Drosophila melanogaster: one gene and its partner. The protein of the gene in region 1 interacts with the protein of each later gene in a pairwise test. Each region holds a gene or a part of one and is shown on either strand. Other genes may lie near its edges.

Evidence for each region.
Region 2: the proteins of CG7407 (region 1) and Sras interact in a two-hybrid assay, tested with the Drosophila melanogaster proteins (one large-scale study listed by BioGRID).

Annotation. Positions count from the first base shown.
Region 1 is NT_037436.4:21,821,767-21,825,128, reverse strand, and holds CG7407 (uncharacterized protein), read right to left. Parts: upstream 1,669-3,362; 5' UTR 1,598-1,668; coding exon 1,466-1,597; intron 1,404-1,465; coding exon 1,029-1,403; 3' UTR 558-1,028; downstream 1-557. Other genes in the region: eIF2A (eukaryotic translation initiation factor 2A), read right to left, coding at 52-91; CycH (cyclin H), read right to left, coding at 1,901-2,018, 2,077-2,188, 2,244-2,472, 2,532-2,733, 2,810-3,123.
Region 2 is NT_037436.4:5,562,013-5,565,603, forward strand, and holds Sras (severas), read left to right. Parts: upstream 1-1,761; 5' UTR 1,762-1,848; coding exon 1,849-2,254; intron 2,255-2,313; coding exon 2,314-2,816; 3' UTR 2,817-3,091; downstream 3,092-3,591. Other genes in the region: ScsbetaG (Succinyl-coenzyme A synthetase beta subunit, GDP-forming), read right to left, coding at 1-859, 1,073-1,172, 1,254-1,383, 1,481-1,531.

The DNA of each region.
Region 1 (3,362 bases):
GACGGCACCTCAGTGACCACCTGGCGGGGATTGCATCCGGGCTATACTCACTGGCAAGGGTAGGAACAACCAGATCCGCAGCTGCAGCCATTGTCTTCCAATCTCACACGCACACACACACAGGAACAAGCACGTCGGTGGTGTTGTTGCTGTTGTTTTTGTTGTCGTGTCGTCTGATGTACAATCAGTGTTGGTCAACGATTTCGTGCTTGAATTGGTCACACACGGTTGCCGTGTACGCGGTGTATCGATAAGCGATAGTAAACATGCATGGGCATTGGCGCCACAACGACACGTTTAAACATCAACCAAACCAAACCGAACGTATTTAGAACTCCAACAAAATATCTGCTCCACGTGAATTTAAAAACATTTTAGTACTAAAAAATTTGGAACAGAAACGCTAAGCATTTCGACTGCTCCAATCGAAGGTGTGCTGATGGAATCTATATGTTAGAACAATTATTTTCAAAAATCCAATCGCGGCATATAAAATATGAGCGGTTATTTTCGGATATTTGGCTAGGAAACGGTAGGAAATATTTAGAGTATATATTACATCTTAACACAGCTAAACATTCTTTATTGAACAAATAAATCCAAAGTTATATGAACACAATTTAAATCTAACCAACGAATTTGGCGATTAATTGTGTTTAAATCTATACACTTTCTGATCGCGAGTTTTTATCTTGTAACACGTTAAAATATATACATATATTCTTAATTCGAAAGCTGATTTAAGAGACTAAGAGCCGAACAGCCATTTACTACAAATCTAAATCAGATATTAATAACACCAGGAACTCACAAAATACATAGATCGAAGTGGAATACATATAATTTACATACAACTAAGATATTATATTCCGACATCATCGACTGATGAGATAGCTCTCTGACTAAAGACTTGCCCGCACTTAGTGGACCGTATGAGGCAACACCAAATCTTGGAATTTTAAACATTAAACTAATAGATCACACAAGTCTGTACATTCAGGTAGGGTGAGCCCAGGCTCGGCGCCACTTCAGCGATAGAGCCGCACCTGCTGCTTGAGATCCTGGTCGCTTATTCGGTCCTGGAGGTTCAATTCCGCCTCCTGTTTGCGCAGGAGCTCAAAGATGGCCGCCAGCTGCTCGCGCTCTATTCGGCGCTCCTCCTCGATTTGGCTGGGAGTCAGGGTCTTCTCCATCTTATGCTGGAGCCTCTTGGCCTTGAGCTGGCCCATCAGGTGGTTGTAGCTGTGCTCGGGCAGCTGTTCCTCGATTAGCTCAACTTCGCTTTCGGTGGAGTTCTCTTCGTAGGCCTCGTCATCGTCGGTTTCCTCCCCTTGCGGAGTCCGTGACTCGGAATCCTCCTCATCGCGCGGCTCGTCGGCCCCCAGGCCCTCGTCCTCCAGTTCCTGCAAGATAATGTAAGGAAATATTCCAGGAGACGTCTACTTCTTCCGGCAAAAACACCCACGCCTTTGTCCTTGAAGATGTTGGCGAAGTAGAAGGCGACCAAAACGCACAGCAGAAGGGTGACCAGCGCTACCGAGTAGTGGCCTGGTAGTCCAAGAAAGAGAACATCCAGCGAAGGCAGAAAATCCTGCATTTCGAACTCTTTTTGCTATTTGTTGTGACTGAGTTCACTATTCTTGTTTTTCTTGGGGCGCAGTGTGGCCGTTAGCTGCGAACGAAATATTGCCAAGCAGCGCTAAGCGGATTTTCAAAAGGTTTTTTTTTTAATATTTTATATATTGGAAAAGTGAAGTACCTAATCCAACTTTGTTTAGTAAACTAACACTAAACGCATACATTTTAACAATCAAGAAATGGTAAATTACAAAATGCTTTAATATCGATGAAATCCACGCAGTAGTAGATCATCACATCATTTAAATAAATATTCTTAAGTCTATTGGCTGATGTTCATAGCAGATGTGTCCGAGCTCACATCTGCAATGTGGAATGAGGCATCTTCGGCGGGCATGTCATCCTCATCGGTGTACAATCGGCGTAGGCGCTCCTTATAGCTTTTAAAGTATAAGGGTTATTAAATTCGGAATGCATGAACAAATTAGGGCGTCTTACAGTTCGCTATCAGGATTATTGGCTTGATTTCGGCACTTGTCCAACTTTTTCTCGATGGCCTTGACCTTCTCCCGATCGGGCTGCTGATATTGCTTCACCATTATGCGAATTTCTGTCGGGAAAAAGGCATGTAGGGCTGGGCGCACCATCTCACAGCACAAACTTACTTCGCACGGCATCTATGAGTCCGGGTAGCTTCTCCCTGGCGGAGACAAACAGAAGATCCGTCACATAGCTATCGAGATTCTCTTGCTCTCTGCTGGCCGCGTGGAGGACGGCAGCCAATGCAATTTGCGAAGGCGTATGCAGAAGACAGGCATCCGAGTAGTACGTGGAATCAATGAAACTATCAATATGTGGCCGCAGACGATCTGGATTCTGCATATTGCTGCGAGTCTGAAACAAACCAATATGAACGAAACAATCTGGAGAGCAAATGTGAATATATATCGCACTTTTATATCTATCAGGAAACCCTCGATGGGTCTGAACGGATTGTGTATGGTGAGGTAGTAGTTGAGCTGTCCAATCAGCAGTAATTCATTGGACAACACTATGTCGGTGGCCTTGTTCCTGTCGCCCTTGATGTTGTTTACGAACTGGTTGATGGACACGTTGAACTCCTCAACTTTGCAGGCAACGAACACGCATGTGGCTCTGAAAAGGTTTATACATTTTTAGAATGTTTTGCTTTTCAGCTGGGTGTTTGCTGCTCTCAGGTGAGCGTTCCTACAGAATCTCCTTGGGGTGATAGTCCATGGGGGAGTTGTTCAGATAGAACCGCTTGAAGTAGTGGAAGGCCGTGCCCACAACGCACTTGGGCATCGTCGGTTCGAAGCGGCGGCAGAAATCGAACAGGTAGATCTCGTACTGCTTCAGCAACAGGCGCTCCTCCGCCGACGTGAGAAAGTGCTCATTGAGGTCGCGACCCTGCGCCTCCTCCTCGTGCGACTCGATGTACTTGCTGTTCTGCTCCACGCGGAACTCCATGAGCTGGCCCTCATTGGCGAATGTCCAGGACCTCTTTTGCGAGCTCACAGGATACATCTTGCTCAGCTGCCGGCGAATTTATGCCGATTCGAAACTCAGACACCCTGCATGGTGTTACCGATTGCGGGACGGAGAAAAATACCAGTTGTGAAAAAATATTAGGGTGATTCGTACAATAGTCACTTTTATTTCATTGGAAATCAGAAGCGCAAGATTGGCAAAAATTGAGAACGTATAACTAACTGTATGGGCTATGATTTAATCAATAAGTGAACACGTTTTAATACAGCTACAAG
Region 2 (3,591 bases), about 16 Mb from region 1:
CTCCAGTCGCACAACCAGTGGAACATTCAGTTGCAGCTTTTTGGATGCAGCCACAATGCCATTGGCAATGGTGGCACAATTGACAATGCCGCCAAAGACATTGACCAGGATTCCCTTGACTTTCGGGTCAGCAGTGAGGATCTCGAAGGCTTTGGCCACCTGATCCTCCCTGACGCCACCGCCGACGTCCAAAAAGTTGGCGGGCTCGCCTCCATTCAGCTTGATGATGTCCATGGTGGCCATGGCCAGGCCGGCACCATTAACCAAGCAGCCAATGTTGCCATCCATGGCGACGTAGTTCAGATTGTACTTGGCCGCCTCCACTTCTCGGGGATCGGATTCCTCCTCGGTGACGTCCATGGAGAAAATATCCTTCTGACGGAACTGGGCATTGTCGTCAAAGTTGAGCTTAGCATCAACGGAGATAACTTCTCCCTTATCCGTCTCCGCCAGCGGGTTGATCTCGATCTGTACGGCATCCACAGCTTTGAAGAGAGTATAGAGTTTTTGAATTTCCTCAGCACAACGCTTTACAGAGTCTCCCTTGAACTCCAAGAACTTGGCCACCTCCAAGAGCGTCGACTCCGGTATGGGCTTGCCAATGTCTAGCGGAACAGTCTTAATTTTCTCAGGGGTTTCCTCGGCCACCGCCTCGATATCCATGCCACCGGCAGGTGAGGCAATCAGCACGGGTCCATTGTGCTCGCGGTCCAGCAAGATGCAGAGATAGGTCTCGCGGGTGATGTTGATACTGCGTGCCACCATGACCTTGTTGACCAAAATTCCCGATTTGGGCGTTTGTTTCGTTATCAGTCGGTTTCCAATCATCTGCTGGGTAAGCGAAAGCACCTCGCTCTTGCTGGCAAAATGTTAAATAATTATTAGTATAAGCTGGTCTTATCACTTGTGTTTTTAAGGTACACTCTGGCTTTCACAAACTTTTATCATTTTCAATATGGGCAGAATGATAAGATTAATCTTATATACAAATGATATTGTAGAACATAAATAATATTAATTTTTTAGATAAAATGTGAATGTGAATAGCCGGAATAGACCTAATCTATAATACTTGGTGGTGATATGGACGCCGCCTTTGAATCCGTTGTCGAAAGTTCCCTTGCCACGCCCACCGGCGAGAATCTGCGCCTTCACCACGTATTCCGGGCACTCTGAAACACAGAAGCACAGCATTTAACACCAATTAGCCCAGGGATTACATAAACACCGGCATGGTTCCGTCCTCCACTTACCAAAAGTCTTGACGACCTCGGCATCTGCCTTGGAGTTATTCAAGACCTTGAATTGCTGTATGGCCACTCCATACTTCTGGAGGAGATCCTTGCTCTGGAACTCCAGCAGATTCAGGTTGCGCACGGGAACCTATCATCGAAAGATAAACAAAGCCAAGACAAAGGTCACTTCAACTTCTCTTTTCGAAGAGTTGATATATTATAGAGGAATGTGAGTGCGAGGAAACCTTATGAACGATGTGACGGGCTGTGGTAACTGCTTTCAGTAGGAACGACATCTTGGCTGATCTGCGGTGGTAACTGAATACCTTGGCTAACTTGGTATTAATTTATTTTCGTAACTTTGTCGGTAAATTTAGTTTAAAAACACAACCGAAAATCGCCGCCGTTCCACGATGCTTATCACTGCACAATGTGACCAAGAAGCACGACTACTTTCCATGGTGATAAAAATATACCAAATGCCACTGCCATCTTGAACTAGTTCTCGCGAAGCAATGGTCTTACTGTTGCAGTCAGCTGAAAATCAGCTGTCGTTGTGTACTTTTTTTCTTCGGCTAATAGTCAGCGAAGAATGACGAATAACACAAATTGAATGAAAAACCTGAGTGAGACGGAAGCCGAAGTCACCATGCAAGAAAATGTAGTCCACGAATCATTGCCCCAGATCCCGGTGGCCACTTCGGTGAGCTGTTGCTTCGTTCTGGCTGTTCTGTACGTGGGTAGCCTCTACATCTGGAGCACCAAACACAACCGGGATCATCCAACCACGGTCAAGAGAAGATTCGCCAGTGTGTCCATGGTGATGCTGGCAGCCCCGTTCTTCGTTTACTTCTTCTCATCGCCGGAGCTGCTCAGCCGGGTACCATTTCCCAAGCTGCTCGGTTTGCGCTTGGAGGGATTGTGGCAGGCTGTTGTTATACCATACAGCCTGACGGTGCTGCTCTTCCTGGGACCCATCTTTGTCAACATGCAGAACGAGTCCGTGCGCTCCTACTTCGGTAATAGTTAAAGCCCCTCTGCCTATCAGCCCCTTCTCACTGCTTGATTTGAATTGCAGATCTGGACTACTGGAGGGGATCATTTGGCAGCATCATCTGGGTGCGCAACCATGTGATAGCACCGCTGAGCGAGGAGTTCGTGTTCCGAGCCTGCATGATGCCCCTGATCCTGCAGAGCTTTTCGCCCCTGGTCGCCGTTTTCATAACGCCGCTTTTCTTCGGAGTAGCCCACTTGCATCACATAGCCGAACGCCTGAGCTTAGGCGTGGAGTTGAGCACTGCCCTATTGATTGGACTGTTCCAGTTCATCTACACCACGCTATTTGGCTTCTATTCGGCCTTTCTATTTGCCCGTACAGGTCATGTGATGGCTCCCATCTTGGTGCACGCGTTTTGCAATCATATGGGTCTGCCGGATCTGCAGGATCTGTGGCAGCAGGATCTCTGGCGACGAGTAGTGGCCATTATTCTCTACTTAGCTGGATTTGTTGGATGGATGTTCCTGGTACCACTGGCTACCGATCCGTCGATCTATGATAACACCCTTTACTGGAATGCATAATTAAGTTAATTTGTATGTATCAACCGCTGCCATACGTCGGTTCATTCATGTGTACATAAATATTCGTGCATATATTATGTTTATATGTAAATTGCATATCCCATTCGAGCCAATTCCGCGCACAAAAAAAAGACTTCCGATGAAAAAGAAAAAAGAAAGTACAGATAAATGTATACCTAATAGTAAGTCAGTTGTACTGTTTTGTTGTTCGAGAGTACTTTTATTACAACTACTTTTGTTTGCATTTGTTTATTAAACAATTTCTTAACATTTATAAATATTATTTATTATTATTATTAAGAAAGAAATATGAATTCAAATTTAGGCGGTATTATTGGTTCCGCGCAATCACTAGTTCCAACATATCGGTATTGGGCAGCTGGTCACACTGCCACTCAGACCCACATAGGCTTATCGATAGGGCCCGATAGGCCCAGACAAGTAAATTTTGGTAAATATGTGATGATTTAAAACGACGCACAACAAGCGAGCATCTAAACGACCCGAAAATCGAGAGGTCAGCGCCAGGAGGCCCAATCGGAGGTAATCCCGCAGAGCGGCGACCCGTGCTAGAACTGGGAAAACAGATCCGCGTTCTGGTGACGTTTGTGGTCTTTGCCCAGGACTACGAATGATAGTAATTATAGAACAATTAAGACTAACCTCAACCCCCCGGGGTCATCCTGGGACACTTGCAGGCCGCGCGGAAGACCACGTCAACGCACACGCAAATAGAACCCAAATCTTAAGCAGAAATAGCAACAACAACACAACC